2 linked regions of the Lonchura striata genome follow. The protein of the gene in region 2 binds, or shares a complex with, the protein of the main gene of each other region. Links are inferred from orthologs where the notes say so. Each region holds a gene or a part of one and is shown on either strand. Other genes may lie near its edges.

Region 1 (3,904 bases), on a different chromosome or scaffold from region 2:
TGAGGGGGGAAACCGGAAATGAGGGGGGAAACTGGGAATGGGAAAAACCTGGGAATGAGGGGGGAAACCGGAAATGAGGGGGGAAACCGGGAATGAGGGGGGAAACCGGGAATGAGGGGGGAAAACCCGGAATGAGGGGGGAAAACCGGGAATGAGGGGGGAAACCCGGAATGAGGGGGGAAACCGGGAATGGGAAAAACCTGGGAATGAGAGGGGAAAACCCAGGCATGGGAATGAGAGAGGAATTCGGGAATGAGAGGGGATTTGGGAATGGGAGGGAAATCCAGGAATGAGAGGGAATTCGGGAATGGGAATGAGAGAGGAATTTGGGAATGAGCGGGGAAAACCCAGGAATGAGAGGGAAAATCAGGAATGAGAGGGAATTCGGGAATGGGAATGAGAGAGGAATTTGGGAATGAGCGGGGAAAACCCAGGAATGAGAGGGAAAATCAGGAGTGGGAATGAGAGGGAATTCAGGAATGAGCGGGAAAAACCTGGACTGTGACAGAATCCAGGAATGGGAATGGGAAAGGAATTCAGGAACGAGAGGGAATCCGGAAATGGGAATGAGAGAAGAATTTGGGAATGAGAGGGAATCCGGGAATGGGAATGAGAGAGGAATTTGGGAATGAGTGGAGAAAACCCAGGAATGAGAGAGAAAAACAGGATGGGAATGAGAAGGAATTCAGGAATGAGCGAGAAAAACCTGGGAATGAGAATGAGAGGGAATCGGGGTTGAGTCCCGGTTCTCTCCCATTCCCGGTTCCCCCATTCCCGGTTCTCCCCCAGTCCCGGTTCTCTCCCATTCCCGGTTCTCTCCCATTCCTGGTTCTCTCCCATTCCCGGTTCTCCCATTCCCGGTTCCCCCATTCCCAGTTCTCTCCCAGTCCCGGTTCTCCCCCATTCCCAGTTCTCCCATTCCCGGTTCCCCCAGTCCCGGTTCTCCCATTCCCAGTTCTCTCCCATTCCCAGTTCTCCCCCATTCCCGGTTCTCTCCCATTCCCGGTTCTCTCCCATTCCCGGTTCCCCCATTCCCAGTTCTCCCCCATTCCCGGTTCTCCCCCATTCCCGGTTCTCTCCCATTCCCGGTTCCCCCATTCCCAGTTCTCTCCCAGTCCCGGTTCCCCCAGTCCCGGTTCTCTCCCATTCCCAGTTCTCTCCCATTCCCAGTTCTCCCATTCCCAGTTCTCTCCCATTCCCGGTTCTCCCATTCCCAGTTCTCCCATTCCCAGTTCTCTCCCATTCCCGGTTTTCCCCCATTCCCAGTTCTCCCCCATTCCCGGTTCCCCCGGAGCCCTGCCCCGCTCCCCTCGGTCCCGGTTCCATTCCCGCTTCCCTCAGAGCCCCCTCGAGACCCCCCAGAGCCCCTCAGACACTCCGAGTCCCCTCAGAGCCTCCTCAGAGCCCCAGAGCCCCTCAGACCCTCAGAACCCCCTCAGAGCCTCCTCAGAGCCCCAGAACCCCCTCAGAACCCCCTCAGAGCCCCTCAGACCCTCAGAACCCCCTCAGAACCCCCTCAGAGCCCCTCAGACCCTCAGAACCCCCTCAGAGCCTCCTCGGAGCCACTCAGACCCTCAAAACCCCTCAGAACTCCATCAGAACCCCTCAGAACCTCTCAGAACCACTCAGAACCCACTCAGACCCCTCAGAACTCCCTCAGAACCCCCTCAGAACCCCCTCAGAACTCCATCAGAGCCCCTCAGAACCCCCTCAGACCCCTCAAAGCTCCCTCAGAGCCCCCTCAGAACTCCCTCAGAACTCCATCAGAACTTCATCAGAACCCCTCAGACCCCCCTCAGAACCTCTCAGAACCACTCAGAACCCACTCAGACCCTCATAGCTCCCTCAGACCCCCCTCAGAGCCCTTCAGACTCTCAGAGCCCCTCAGAACTCCATCAGAACCCCTCAGACCCCTCAGAGCCGCCTCAGACCCTCATAGCTCCCTCAGAACTCCCTCAGAACCCCTCAGAGCCCCCTCAGAACTCCATCAAAACTCCATCAGAACCCCTCAGACCCTCAAAACTCCCTCAGAGCCCTCAGACCCTCAGAGTCCCTCAGAACCCCTCAGAACTCCATCAGAACTCCCTCAGAACCCCTCAGAGCTCCCTCAGAACCCCTCAGACCCTCAGAACCCCTCAGACTCTCAGAGCCCCTCAGAACTCCATTAGAACCCCTCAGAACTCCCTCAGAGCCCCTCAGAGCTCCCTCAAGACCCTCAGAGCCCCCCAGAGCTCCTTCAGAACCCCCTCAGACTCTCAGAGCCCCTCAGACCCTCAGAGCCCCCCAGAGCTCCTTCAGAACCCCCTCAGACTCTCAGAGCCCCTCAGACCCTCAGAACTCCATCAGAACTCCCTCAGAGCCCCCTCAAGACCCTCAGAGCCCCCCAGAGCTCCCTCAGGACCCCTCCGAGTTTCCGGCCCTTTTCCCGCCGTTCCCCCGCGCGCTCCCTCCGTCCCAGCCGCAGTCCCCGCGCTGCCCCCGCGGGCTGTGGCGGTTGCCGGGTTCTGTCCCCGTTCTCTCCCCGCGGTTTTCCCGGCTCCGTTCCCTCTCCCAGCGGCACCTTCAGCTTGTGCAGCTCCACCGGCTCCGCCGCCATCTTGGCACCCCCGCGCCCGCCCCGCCCCTCCCGCCGCTCCCACCAATCAGCGCCGCGCGTCCCCCGCTGCCCCGCCCAAATCCGCCGCTCGCCATTGGTCAGCGCTGCCGGCAGCGCCCGCCGGTGATTGGCTTATCGGGGAATAGAGGCGGGGATATGTTGACTGACGTGCGGATCAACCAATGGAAATAGGGATGTGCTGAGAGACAGCCAATGGGAAGAGAGGGCGGGAAACGCGGACTTCCGGGAGGTGGGGCCAGGAGCGGAGCGGGGTCATTGAGGGACTGGGGTATAATTAATTATTAAAAATTATCTCCCTTCATTAAACTATTAACCTTCCTGGATAACATTAGATATTTATTATTTACTACCTCTGGTTATTTTGTGTTTATTGCTTAGAGTGTTGCTATGTTCTTTGCAGTACTTTTATCTATTAAAATATAGCCTTTGTTATGATTTAATTTCATTGTTGTTTAATTATTACCGAAAATTTGCATATATTTGCGTTATTTAGTTACCGTTTATGTGCATTAAATGCTTTGCATTAAATCTTTGTTATAAATTCATTCATTATAATTCATTCATTTGTGCTTCACCCAGCGGTGCAGAGCACAAATTTGGGGCCATTTTCCAAAACATTCCTGCGTTTCCCACTCCTTTCCCTTCTCCAGTCGCTGCTCCCAAGGGCTGCTGCTTTATTCCCTTATTAATAAATTATTATCACTTAATTTATTAATAACTTTATTTAGTACTACTGCATATCTTTCTATTTCTCATTAAAAACACTTCCAATCTCCAGCACAGCCTCCGCTTCCCGCAGCTCCTGAGCCACAACCCCCTCTTGTTATCATTAAAATAACTCAAATAATTCAATTAATTCAAATTATTCAAATGAGCTTCTCTTTTGGGCGTGGCGGCCGCCATGATGGATGTCGTGCCCGCCATGATGGTTGCGGGCAACCTCCATGACGGCAGCGGCCGCTTCCCCGTCGCTCCAAACCGCATCTCCCGCACTAACCGGACACACCCTCCCCCCACGGGTCGTTCCCGGTCGCTCCGGCCCCGCCGCAATCCCGGTACCGGCGCCTGAAGCGCCGCCTTGCCCACACTCAAGATGGCGCCGCGCTCTGCACCCTCATAGAACCCACCAACATGGCAGCGCCCACAACGGCGTCAGTGACGTTAATCTTATTCCTGCGCAGACCGGAAGTGCTGCCGCCATATCGTGATTTAGGGACCCTCAAATTTCCACTCCCCTCTTTTTAAATTTAAAATACAAAAAACACCACTCGATTTTATTTTTAAAAA
Region 2 (3,904 bases):
ACATGACAGGCATGTCTGCCACAGATTGCTGAGGCAGAGGCTCCCCCTTATGGCGTTCTGCTCTGCACAGGAAAGCTCTTCCTTAGCAGATGGATTCTTCCTGTGTCCTTCCAGCTCTACCAGCACTTCTCTATCCAATTCCCTCCTTGCAGTTCCCCAAAATAAAACCATTACCTGTCTCCACCTCGGCAATGTCAATGAAGTGATCTTCTGATGCTGAGGCCAGCATCTTCCCATCGTGGCTAAAGCTCAACGTCCGCACGGGCCAGTCGAGCCTGCAGCAAACGAGGGGAGCAGACGGTGAGGCACTGCCACCACAGTCCCCAGAGAGAGGGGAAATCAATTTTGGGACAGCTCTACCTACCTGGAGAAGCACCTCACACACACTAGCTCGTCCACATCCCAGAGGCTGACCAATGCATCAGCACTGCCTGTGGCAAAGTACTTCCCCATGGGATCGAACTTGATGCAGATGCAGTTGGAAGGATGGGCGTTGATGGACTGGATGGGTTTCAGCTCTGGGTAGCTGTGGAGGTGAAGGGAGAGGGTAGGGAGCAGTGAGAGAAGCACAGGGATTCCCTAGAGCAGGGCAGGCATGAGGCACACCAGGACTGGAAGCAAACCCTGCCGAGGCAGGAGACACTGAGTGTCCAGTGAATGAGGCAAAGCCTCAGGGACCATTTCAGGGAGCTGAGCCTAGCCCACAGCTGTGGCAACCTCAGCTCCAGGCAAGCTCATTCCCACCAGAGGGCAGGGGATTGCTGGGACGTGGGGCTCAGGTTTCCCAAAAGCAGCAAAGGCACTTGCAAATGACTGCAGCCAGCCCAGCCACCCGGTCCACCAGCAGCCACGGGCACCTGCCTGAGGATGTTGATGCAGCCATTGCCATTGGTGAGGAAGAACATGTTGTTATCGTTGTTCCAGGAAATCTCGTTCACCTCAAACTTGAACTGTTCCTCAGCTTTGGAGCGATGTGTCTTGGCATCAATAAAGGTGACCACATCATCCTTGTTCCCCACAGCAATAGTCTGTCCATCAGGGCTCCAGCAGATGTTGATGTTCTCACCTGAAAGGACAAAAAGGCAGCACGTCCCACTACCACTCCAAACCATTCCCAAATGGGAAAGACTACCAGTTGTTCAGTGTAACACACAAACCCTGCACAGCAGCTATCCAGCAAAACCAAACTTGTGAGAAGTACAACTTGAAAATGATATGCCACATCCCATTTCAGCCAAGATGGGACCACAGCAACCACTACACAAGGTTACACCGATGATCCTCTGAATCCAGTAATCTCTGAGATCCAGAAAAAGAAGAGGCCAAAAATAAATACCTTTGAATATACAAAAGAACATGGCAGGTTGCTATTACACAACCTTACGATATCATTCCCAGCCCAAACAACTCAAACTGGACATTTCCAAGAGCAGAGATGGTATTTGGGTAAAGCATCACATGAATTCAAATAGTTTTTCTGAATCCACACAATTTTTTATTTCCAGCATGACTCTCTGTAAACATACTTTTCCCCAGTCTCCAGCCTCACAGTCCACTCGTTCCAGAGACAAGTACAAAGGACATTTTAACAGCTAGCACGATATTTCAGCAGTTCTAACAGTCCTGACCCCACGGTAAATCAGCTCTCACATGATGAGCGTAACACAAATATAAAGCAGTTAGCAAAGATGTCCCAACCAGAAATAACTACAGGAAAGGTTCAAAGCTCTGTGCCACTGCAGACGGGTCCCTCACAGCTGAGATCCTGCCGGGACCCAGCTGGGAAGGCGCCCCGGGAGGGCAGGGACTCACCTTTGGTGTTGACAGTGGCGATGCACTTGGTGGTGCGGACATCCCAGATGCGGATGGTTTTGTCCCCTGACGCTGTGACAAACAGGTCAGGGTTGCTGGGGTGCCAGCAGAGCTGATCCACGCTGTCCCCGTGGCCCCGGTAGTTGTTCTCCTTCACCTGGCGGGAGAGGGCGGATGACGCGAGGGTGTGTGCCTGGCTCTGCTCCCACTCCTGCATCCAGCGGGGATGCAGCGCGCTGGGATAGACCAGGAGCCGCGCCCCGGCCGGCAGGACGGAGAACGCCGCGGGGCACCGGCTCCGTTCCGGGCTCGCACACCCGGCCTGCGCTGTCCTTGGCGATGCCCCTGCTCCGGTGCACACCGAGTACCCACCCCCAGGCCCGGTACCGACCACCGGGGCATCCTCCCGCTTCCGGACCCCGCCCAAGCAGCCGCACGCGGGGTGCCCAGGGGCTCCCGGTACCGATCCGCACCGCCCCGCCCGGCGGGTCTCACCAGCCGGTCCTTCTCCAGCAGGAAGACGCTGGCGGTCTTGTCGAAGGAGCCGGAGGCGAGGCGGCGGCCGCAGCAGCTCCAGGCCACCGAGTGCACCTTGGCGCCGTGCGCCGGGAACTCGCGGCTCCGCGTGTTGGCGCGGAACAGCTCCTGCATGGCCTGCACGTAGGGCGACAGCGCCATGGCGGGGCCGCCGCCGCCGGCACCGCCGCCCCGCCTGACGCCACTTCCGCCGCTCCCGCCGCTCCCGCCGCTTCCGCCGCTCCCGCGGCCCCGCCGGCAGAGCGGAGCCGCCGCCCGCCGCCGGGATGGAGAACAATGTGGTCCTCCTCAGCGATTCGGACTCGGAGGGGGCCCGCTCGCCGCCGCTTCAGCCCTGCCGCTGCCGCCCCTCGCTGCCCGCCGCCGCGGTGAGTCCGTGCCTCCCGCCGGCACCGGCGCCGCTGTTCCGCGCAAGATGGCGGCGCCGCCGCGGCGGGCGGGGGCGGAGGCGCGCGGGGCAGCAGCCTCGGGGCAGCGGAGGGGTGGGCGAGAGGTCCCGGTCCCGTCCCGTCCCCGCCGCGTCCTCAGGACCTCCCACCCTCTTTCCTGGCCGGGCTCGGGTCCCCGCGGGCAGCTGCTGTCAGCAGAGCCCCGCTGCACAAGCGCGCTCCCCAAGGGCCCGGTGCCTGCCATTCGGTGCCGCGGTGCTCTCGCTGCACCCCGAGAAGGATGCAGGCCTGCAGGGCTCAGCCCCCGGCGGGGTCCGGCCGCGGGACGCGGTGGGGCGGTTGCCGCCGCTGTCCCCCATGCCGTTCCTCTGCCGGGTGCGGGGCCGGTGGGGTCGTGCGGCGGCGGTTCCGGGCACGAGGCTCGGGCTCGGACGGGAAAACGGCCGGTCCCTAGCCCCGCACCGCTGTCCCGGGTCCTGAGCCGGCTGGAGCCCTGCACCTCCCTCTCCCACAGCTCCTCTTGCGTGCCGGAGCCCGCTGGGCTTTGCCCTCTCCTTGGGGAAGGCAGCAGGTTTAAGTCGGGGGGGAGGGAAGTGGATTTGAATTCTCTGCTAAACGTGTTCCTGCTTTGAGGTGCTGAGGGGGATTTTTTTCCCCCAAGAGCAGACAGGCTCTGACTCCTCCTGGGCCTGCCAAAAGTTTGGGAAGTGCAGTGTGTGGCCTGTTGCTGGTGCAGGCACAGCTGCCTCCCTTTGCCTGTTCCTGCTGTCCCTTGGACCATGCATCGCCCAGCGAGGCCTGGATGGGAATCCCCAAAGTCTCAGGGCTGCTGTAGCTCTGACTGGTGCCACAGATGTAAAGGCAGCTTTGTTTCTTGCCACACCTGTTCTCCAGAGCAGGGAATGTGCCACAGAAAAGGTGGCAGGGTTTGGATTGCATGCTGTTCCTGCCTGGGTACAGGAGAGCTCCTTGTGCTTCCATTGCCCTCCCTGGACATGGCATTAGGACTGGCATTTCCCTGTCGTGGGAAGGAGCTGAGCAGGCAGCTAGGTCTGCTCTGAGTCAAGGCACAAGGACATGAGCCCTGAAGGGAGTGGGGAAGAAGAGCCTGGGTTGGTCTCAGGCTCAGCTGTGCTGCCAGGGGAGGCTGAGCCCAGAGCTCAGGG

The links.
Region 1: THOC3 (region 2) and SARNP share a complex: the UniProt entries of both Homo sapiens proteins name them as parts of the transcription/export (TREX) complex. The link is inferred for Lonchura striata from reciprocal best matches to the Homo sapiens genes THOC3 and SARNP.

The regions. Positions count from the first base shown.
Region 1 is NC_134629.1:9,290,264-9,294,167, forward strand, and holds the start of SARNP (SAP domain-containing ribonucleoprotein), read right to left. Parts: upstream 2,626-3,904; 5' UTR 2,597-2,625; coding exon 2,561-2,596; intron 1-2,560. UniProt on the Homo sapiens protein: Binds both single-stranded and double-stranded DNA with higher affinity for the single-stranded form. Specifically binds to scaffold/matrix attachment region DNA. Also binds single-stranded RNA. Enhances RNA unwinding activity of DDX39A.
Region 2 is NC_134617.1:3,495,279-3,499,182, reverse strand, and holds the start of THOC3 (THO complex subunit 3), read right to left. Parts: upstream 2,504-3,904; 5' UTR 2,491-2,503; coding exon 2,308-2,490; intron 1,970-2,307; coding exon 1,813-1,969; intron 1,067-1,812; coding exon 862-1,066; intron 527-861; coding exon 365-526; intron 276-364; coding exon 175-275; intron 1-174. Other genes in the region: SIMC1 (SUMO-interacting motif-containing protein 1), read left to right, coding at 2,616-2,717. UniProt on the Homo sapiens protein: Component of the THO subcomplex of the TREX complex which is thought to couple mRNA transcription, processing and nuclear export, and which specifically associates with spliced mRNA and not with unspliced pre-mRNA.